Linked DNA regions of Kluyveromyces lactis. The protein of the gene in region 1 binds, or shares a complex with, the protein of each later gene. Links are inferred from orthologs where the notes say so. Each region holds a gene or a part of one and is shown on either strand. Other genes may lie near its edges.

Evidence for each region. The genes of interacting proteins can lie anywhere in the genome.
Region 2: SWI4 (region 1) and MBP1 share a complex: the UniProt entries of both Saccharomyces cerevisiae proteins name them as parts of the transcription complex. The link is inferred for Kluyveromyces lactis from reciprocal best matches to the Saccharomyces cerevisiae genes SWI4 and MBP1.

The regions. Positions count from the first base shown.
Region 1 is NC_006041.1:1,852,263-1,857,370, forward strand, and holds SWI4 (SBF complex DNA-binding subunit SWI4), read right to left. Parts: upstream 3,062-5,108; coding exon 260-3,061; downstream 1-259. Other genes in the region: U6 snRNA complex subunit LSM4, read left to right, coding at 4,125-4,676. UniProt on the Saccharomyces cerevisiae protein: Part of a complex involved in cell-cycle-dependent transcription. SWI4 and SWI6 are required for formation of the cell-cycle box factor-DNA complex. The repeated element in the upstream region of HO (5'-CACGAAAA-3') is called the cell cycle box (CCB).
Region 2 is NC_006041.1:484,464-488,683, forward strand, and holds MBP1 (transcription factor MBP1), read left to right. Parts: upstream 1-1,455; coding exon 1,456-3,720; downstream 3,721-4,220. Other genes in the region: KLLA0_E05391g (uncharacterized protein), read left to right, coding at 1-911. UniProt on the Saccharomyces cerevisiae protein: Binds to MCB elements (Mlu I cell cycle box) found in the promoter of most DNA synthesis genes. Transcriptional activation by MBF has an important role in the transition from G1 to S phase.

The DNA of each region.
Region 1 (5,108 bases):
TGAGAACAGTAATCTTTTTTACCTCATCGCATCGCATCGCATCTCATCTCATCTCAAATTTAATTCTTTTTCAATATCAACACCGAAAACCAGAAACCAAAAAAAAAATTATGTTAGCTACAGTGGGCTTGTTGCTTTTTGTTTCGTAAGTTATGATATTTAAGATGAATCTTATAAAGGTAAAGTCTAAGTAATGGGCCGTGTGCATTTTATACGTGCACCGTATGCGTAAATAAAAGTCATTAAAAGTTAGAAGTCCTTAGCGAGACTGAGTCTTTTCCATAGAGCTTAGGTCCATCTCGATGTCATTCAACTTAGAATCGATATTGTCTATGGACATACCAATAAGTTTTCTGAACTTTGATATTTTACTATCTGAAACCAGTTGATCTCTAGCGTATTTGATATTCCTAATCATTTGTCTTCTCTTGAACTGCTTGTAACACAATTCTACCATCAATTTTATGGATTCTTTCTTTTCGAATTCATTAGTAGCTTCCGTAGATGAGTCCTTTGAGAGACAGTTTTCCTCATCCTGTACTAATGTAGCAAGTGACAGCGCTTGCGACCGCTCCATATAGTTATCCAATTCAATGTTTTTCATCTTCAGCTGATTTTGGGCGGATCCCAACGTATTTCTATTATTTGAATCGGAGAGTGCCTTTTCTCTTGCGTTGGTGTGCTTCAGTTGGTTCTCGATCTCTTGGATTTGCTCTTCTTTCAGCTGTATACTATATTGAAGATTATCAAGATTATCTTCAATTATGTTGCTCAAAGATTGAGTAAGAGAACCCAACTGAGCAGTAGACTTGATGGTTGGAGATGATGATTTTTGTTCTTTTCGTACTCTTTGAGCATCAGGTCTACGTAATCTGTTCACAGGCTTCACTAATGTTGGTGGAGATGGTGGATGCAATTTAATTGCTGGAGTTAAGGATCCTTTCATTTTATCAATTGATAAGACATCGTTACGGTCGACTATGTTGTTTTTCCTAGTTGAAGTCTGTATACTATCCACTGTGGTGTCATTGAAGTCGTATTTGCTGGTGTCATCTATACGCTCTTCTTGACTGTTTCGAGGAGTGTTCGCCAAGAAAGTTGTCTTGGGTGGAGATTGTAGAATCTGGGCAGGAAGCGTTGGTTGAAATATATTTGGAACTGTGAAACGAGACAGTATCATAGATACTGTCTGATTTTCACCGTTAAGAATATCTGGTGACGCGCCGAAATATACTAATTTCTGGCATAAATCAACGTTCTTATTGAGGGCTGCTAAATGTAAAGGGGTATTTCCCAATGTATCTTGGTGATTGAGTGACATTCGCAGCAGTTTCTCATCCTCCTTGGCAAGTGTATCCAATATAGTGTCCATATAATACTCTATGACATGAGGTTCTTTGGACCTGTTTACTGTCAGCTCGACTAGGTAGTGCAAGGGTAATCTATGATTTGCATCTGGTGTTACTAGACATGGATTTAACATAGATATTATTTGTTGGAAAGAAACGGCTTTGTAACAATTGTTGTAAAAGACTGATTTTGTCAAACAATTGAAGCCCTTATCATTACAACGGAGAAGATCTGCGTCTTGGACTAGTAGTACTCTAATCAATGGAATGTTTGACATAGCGACAGCCCAATGTAAAGACGTATGTCCTTGGTCATCGATTAAGAAGTTTATGTCCAAATTGGATGGAGGCCTATAAAGTGCTTCGGGTAGCGTAGGTTCCACGGAATCGTATTCTGAAGATAAAACCTCCAAAATGAGTTCCTTATAATATTCTGTGGACACACCGTTCTTATCATGAGCTGATGAGAGTGGAGTTGGTGATTCTGATGAGCTAGACGAAGCTTTATCGTTGGAGGAGAAAACTTCCATTGAGGATCCTGTGGATGTAACGTTTGAGATCATAGACCCAGAAGAATGCCCCATATTATTACTGCCAGCATTGCCCTGCGTCATTTGTTTTAGTATTTTCATGTTATGCTGAGATTTCATGTTAGAGTTGACTGGCACTGGAGCCACGTTGTTTGTAACAGGTACCATTTGTTGGAACTGGTGTGTTTGTGGGTATGGATAAAATTGCAAAGGTTTCTGAGTAGTTTGGTATTTGATTGGATGGTTTGCTTGAGAAATAATATCAGGATTCACCTTACTGACCGGTACCATTGGAGTATCTTGTTCAGAAGCCAAATTAGGAAGCTTTTCAGTACTTTGGTTACTATTTTGACTCTGATGATGATGTTGCTGTTGAGGTGTTTGAAACATAACATTGTGTAAGGGGGACGGTTGAACTGGTTTATCCTTTTTCCCAGATCTCCTTATAGATTTTTTCTTCATTGGGGTCTTTGCATTCTTCTTTGGTGTTTTCTTATAAGCTGATGGTGATGTAATCCTTGCATTCGGGTCCAATTTCTTGATCTGAGATACTTTTGATCTTCTAGGAGGCATATCATTTGGATCAGGAATAAATTCTACAATCCTTTTGACAACCTTATTGTTAATATTGTATTTTTCCACCAGATATTTAGTCGATTCCCAGGGTATCCAGGTCCCCTGGAATCGTCCATAACCACCCTGAATCTTTTCATGTTTAATTTCATTGGCCTCTTTCTCCAAGATCTTGGTTCTCTGAGCCTTTGTAAACGAACCGGCTTTGAAAACTTGCGTTATGTTCAACCAATTATCGTTGCATCTTCTCATGATAAGGCATGGAGGTTTATCTTTGGTATAACATTCATATACATCAACGCCCGCGTATGTAGCAACTTCAATGAAAGTTTCCGATTCGCTGTCATAACCACTTGTCTCCGCCATAGTAGGTTCCTCACTGATTTTCTTTAAACTCCCATCGATCTGCCTTTCATCGATCATCGAAGAGGATGCTCCCGTGGATGAAGAAGAATTATTGGTAGCACCACTATTAGCTCCTAATAAATTAGAATTGAACGGTTTCAAAAGTGTATCATTCTCAGAATGATGATGAGTGCCCATGTGCATTTGAAGGATAGATTCCTTGTCAAAAACGTTGCCGCTATGATGCGACAAGTGTTGTTCCATAATTACACGAAAGAAATAAATGCACACGAAATCCTAATTGTTTTAGACAAAACAAAGCAAAGAAAAGCACGCCAGAGTCAACAAAGCGTTTCGAGTCGAGTGTCACCTTCTGCTGCTGCTTCTGCTTCTGCTCCTGGCAATGTGATCTCAAGCTCGCTCACTTTGTAAAATTCAACGTAAAATATACCACGCAGTTACGGTTATTCTAGCTTTTCCACCAGTGCCCAAAAATGTATCCAGATATCGGAGTAGCAGACCAAATCAATCTCAACTGGAATGCTCTGATATTTAGCTAAGTTCACGTAGCCTACAGACACTGTTAATAACAAAGGTATACACAAATCATAAATGACATTGTAAAGTGCGTGAGAAAGTCTGCTTTCAAAAGATTATAATCTTTATTTTAAACTGTGATCAAATCTCTTTACCCAATTGGGAAAAGAAAGATTAGATGCCTCACCAAAAAAAAAATCTCAGATCTCACATTTCAAACCTCACTCCAGTGTGTTCCCATATTCAAAGCTGAGGCAACCTTTCAAAACGCCTAGAAGGGTCCGTATGACACGAAGGAGTAGGGGGGCAGAAACAGTCTTAAAAGTGAAAAAATAAGAGAAAAATCAATAATCAGATTATATTCACGTGTCAGTATTACCCGGGACACTCACGTGATTCGAAACTTTTAAGTGTTACCCGGTAAATGAATTTTATGAAATGTCGAGAATGCTTTTTCCAGCTCAATGAAATTTGGAAAAACTGAAGTTATATTGTAATTGGAATTTAAATATTGTCAATGCAATTGTATGCATTTGGTTCGTCCTACTAGGGAGTGTTACATAACTCAAACTACAGATACGCAGATAAGCAACAAAGTCTAATTCATACTTTTTTCCCTCACATTTTTCCTTCTCCAGACAGACAGAGTCCTAATTTTTTGGTATATTGTATATTGTTCCGGCCCCACCCTTTCCTACGATTAAGTTACTACGGTTTGAGATACCTAAAGAAATACGACAGCACGGGCACACTATAATTGGTAAAACAGATCAATAAGTTATAACATAAAATGCTTCCATTATATTTATTGACCAATGCAAAGGGTCAAACAATGCATGTTGAACTAAAAAATGGAGAAACTGTGGAAGGTACGCTATCTGATGTAGACAATTGGATGAACTTGACACTTTCCAATGTCACTCATGTAGCTAGTGGAGAGACTTTGAAATTACCAAGCTTCTATTTGAAAGGTTCTTTCATCAAGTATGTTAATTTGCAAGATGATATCATAGACAAGGTAAAACAACAATGGGGTCAAAACAGAGGCGGTAAAGACGATAGAAGAAGAAATAACAACTACAATAATAACAATAATTATTATCAGAATAGGGATGGTAACAGAAGAGGTGGTAGAAGAAACTATCAAAACTCAGGTAACAGAAGGGATTACAACAACAACAATAATAATAATAATAATAATAATAACAATACTCACAGCCATAACAATGCAGGATCTCGTCGTTATAATATTCAAAATAGATCACAATACGATGCATCATCCAATCCACAGCTTTCGTATTCGCAGGCGTCAAACAATAGTAATCAAACTCCACAATTTTGATTTAACCTCTTTTCTCAGCATTTAATTCTTAAGTATTTGTGTGTCTACATGGTTACATATTCAATCACTTTTATTGCGGTTAAAGAGACTATTTTGTTGGCTTGGACGGTCAAAAGTCTATAAAAACATCTGTTTCGATTGCATTCGATGCGATATCCTAAACCTTTTTCTCGTTACTCCTTTCACACTTTTGAGATTTAAAACTGAATTTGGGTTATGAAATTAAAAGAACTACCTATTAATTATGATTCAGAGTTAGTGAACCTTAAGTTCAAAGCAGTATATCAGTGCTTTATATATTAAGAGTATGTGAGCATGGGTACCGTGGAAAAGATCAAATGTTGTTATTTTTTAAATTACTCTATACAAAAATGCTTGGTTTAGAAAGTCCATGCTAGATATGCAGTATTATATAGGAGAAATATGAGACTC
Region 2 (4,220 bases), about 1.4 Mb from region 1:
TGCTTGAATACTTGAATCCAGAAAACCAATTACAAAGATTCTACAATACCCATAAGTTGATTAAATCGAACGTGAACCATGGAGATGTCAGAAATCGTTGGTGCTTACCTTATGATTTTTCACAAATTTCCAATTTCAGAGATGTTGGTGGATACGTCACTACATCAGGTAAACAAGTTAAACCTGGTATTATGTACCGTTGTGCAAACCCCAATGAGGCCACACCCGCCGCTTTGGATTACATGAAATCTCATCTTTTCATAAATAGAGTTTTTGATCTGAGAGCTGTTAATGAAGCTACTGAAGGTGGGATTATCCCGAATTTCGAAGTTGAAAATCTATCGTTCAACAATAACATGACATTGAGTCCAGAAGAAATGGCTAAACATTATCAAGGTATGTTTTTGTCTTCTTACAATTTCCCTCAGGCGTATGAGATTGTTTTAGAGAACAGTCTCCCAGTTATTCGTCGTTTTTTCGAATACATACTTGAGGGAAACGTCGATGAAAAACATGCGATTGTTTTTCATTGCAGTGCTGGAAAGGATAGGACCGGGATTTTGGGTATGTTGATATTAGGGTTGGCGGGTGTTGACGCTGACACCATTTCTCACGATTATGAATTAACTAAACTCGGATTGACTACCGAGAAAAGATTAATCCAAAGAATCACCGGACGTGGTGACAAATTCTACACAATTCTGGGCCCCCACGGTCATGAAATAGCTTCTGCTTGGGGTGTTTCTCCAAAGGAAATGGCAGCCAATGTGCTATCTTCAAAATATGAAGCAATGCGTCTATTCATTGACGCATTCTTGTTGAAATTCGGCTCTTTTGAACTGTTTTTCTTAGAGCAACTGAAGTTTACTGAGAAAGAAGTGGAAAAGATTAAAATCGAACTTACTATTTAAATAGAAAATATATTTAATTATGAGCTTAATGCGTTTGATATGAATGTTGACTATTTTCTGTCTCTCCCAACCAAGAGCCAGCCTTATACGCTCAAAGAGCATCCAGTTACCGTTTTAATTTGAATGTCCGGGTAACATTTTGAGTTGTTGTGTTGAAGTTGGTACGTTTTTTTTGGTTGATGAATTAAGAACCATCGAAAATAATGCAAGTTATTGTTTATATATTGCATATGATAAGTACCTAAAGGTACAAAACAGTCAAAATATAAACCAAGAGAAAGACGATCTTCACACCTTGAATATCCATACAAGGTTTGATTGGAAATTCATTGAGTTTTTTTCGAGTTTGCTGACATTTACTGGACATACCCGCCATTACCAGTCGCTATATTTCGGGGGTATAGTCAGTCGAAGACCAGCATACTGTCAAACTGAATTGGGGACTAAGATATATCATATCGATTTTTGGAACCAAATTTGATCTTACACATAGCACGGGTGCAAGATATTGCATCAATTTTTTTACAAGGATAAAGTTAATACCATGTCATCCAATCAAATATATTCTGCGAAGTACTCTGGCGTGGATGTCTATGAGTTTATACACCCGACTGGGTCAATAATGAAGAGAAAGGCAGATAATTGGGTGAATGCCACTCATATATTGAAGGCTGCAAAGTTTCCAAAGGCTAAAAGGACAAGGATATTGGAAAAAGAAGTCATAACAGATACCCACGAAAAGGTTCAAGGTGGTTTCGGTAAATACCAAGGTACGTGGATTCCCTTAGAGCTAGCCTCGAAGTTGGCTGAGAAGTTCGAAGTATTAGATGAGCTTAAACCTTTATTTGACTTTACACAACAAGAAGGCTCTGCTTCGCCGCCTCAGGCTCCTAAACATCACCATGCTTCCAGAAGTGACTCTACCAGAAAAAAGGCTACAAAAAGCGCATCTGTACCTTCTGGAAAGGTATCCGAAAAAGCGAGCTCCCAACAGCAGCAGCCTGTATCTCAACAGCAGCAGCAGCAACCTGGTTCTGCACCAAAAAGGCGGGGTCGTCCTCCTCGGAATAAAGCGACTGTAACATTACAAAGATCACAAAGTGAGATGGTTTTTCCAAAACCTTCAATTCCATCATCTTCTATCCAGAGCACAAAGTTACCTAGTCTACAGCCTCAGTTTGGCAGATCAGCGACTAGTTTGTCCCCGATTATGGATGTAAAATCTCCGCTGGATCAAGCTTCTCCCCAATTTAAGGAATTAGATATCGAAGACGGACTTTCCAGTGATGTAGAACCTAATTCTATTATGGGCACAAAACATGAGGATAACACACACTTAATGAACACAAAGGATGAGCCTGTATCTTCTTCTTCCTCTTTACCGTCTTCCCCAAGTGAATTCTCTCAAAGTGTTGCATTTGGCTCGAGATCTAACATGCAAACTCCCCTACAATTAAATGGTACGACTTCAATGAATATGATATTACCAAAATTTTCCTCATCTCAAAACGGACCATCTGATTCAAACCAAAGAGCAAACGAATACCTATCAAAATTGGTGAATTATTTCATATCTAATGATACCCAAAACGAATCGGAAATACCGATGGAGCTTTTGAATCCTCCTTTACATTGTTCGCCGTTTATTGATACGTGGATTGACCCCGAACATCATACAGCCTTTCATTGGGCATGTGCGATGGGTACGTTACCCATTGTAGAGGCACTACTAAAAGCAGGAAGTTCCATCAGATCGTTGAATAACGTAGGAGAAACGCCACTAATAAGATCTTCAATTTTTCACAATTGTTATACCAAACGGACGTATCCGCAGATCTTTGAGATTTTGAAGGATACTGTATTTGACCTGGATGCCAAATCAAGAAACGTCATTCACCGGATCGTTAGCAGAAAGAGTCATACCCCTTCTGCAGTCTATTATTTAGACGTTGTACTATCAAAAATTAAAGACTTTACGCCACAATATAGGATTGACGTATTAATAAATCAACAAGACAATGACGGAAATTCACCCTTACACTATGCTGCAACGAACAAGGATGATCAGTTTTATCAACTTCTTCTCCAAAATGGCGCACTTACCACCGTTCAAAATAATAGCGGAATGACACCTAATGGAATCATTAGTGGCCGTTATTCGATGGATGAAATAACAAAAGGGCAAAGGCTGGATGATCCGTATGAATTCAACAAAATGTATCCTTCTCAGGCTGCAACTAGAACAAATAGAATTATCCCAGAGGTAATAAATATGATGAAAGAAATGGCAAACTCTTATCAGAATGCATATCAGAAAAGACAAAACGAAGTTCTTCAGATGGAACGGACAGTAAAGAGCATGAAGAAAACCATAACATCTGTCGAAATGAAACTTTTAGAAGCTTTAAATTTGAAGGAAACTGACAATGTTGACATAGTACTCAATGATAGGAAGGAAAAAATTGATGAACTACAACGGAGAATTGCCACAGACAAGCGCGTGCTAATCAACAGGTTAGAAGAAGGACAAGTAAAACTGATACGAAAGTTTGTTGATGAAGAAACAAAAAATGTCGAAGGTAAGACTACTGACGGTGAGGAGTCTGAAGATATAGAAGCACTTTTGAAGGAATTAGTTCTTATTCAATTAAAACGAAAACGAAAACTTAATCAAATTATTGACGTGATAACAGACAACTCTAAAGTTTACAAATATAGGAAAATGATATCTCAAGGAACTGACATTGACGTTTCTGATGTTGACGAATGTTTAGATGTGATATATCAAACATTAAGCAAGGAAGGTTAGTTGTATAATTCGTATTCGATCGTCATGTACACAATGACTACTTTCTTCATGATGTAGCATTGTATTAATTAAACATAAGAGTACTCAACAAACCATGTTGAATCATCTCTACAACTCTTACCCGATTATATTCATTATAAATGGATTGTACATATCAGTTTGTTAACTTACATATGGGCTACCATAAATATAATAATATTAGAGTTTTAGTTATCTGAAAGTCTGTAAGGTGTAACGCTGAAGATATCATCCGTAGTTTTCTGAACACATTATCCAGTAATGTAAAAACAAAGAAAGAACGCGATCTTGCAATGTTGAAATAAATGTGACTTTTATTGTCTTTCTGTGGAACTTAATCTATTGACTAACTCATTGCAATTGTTTGGTGTTGTTGTTTTTTTATTTGTGATTCATGAGAGCGGAAGCTTTGATTTTATTATATATTATATCTTGGTTGGTGATGGAAGAAATGAGTCCAACTGAAATGAAGGCGGAGAAAC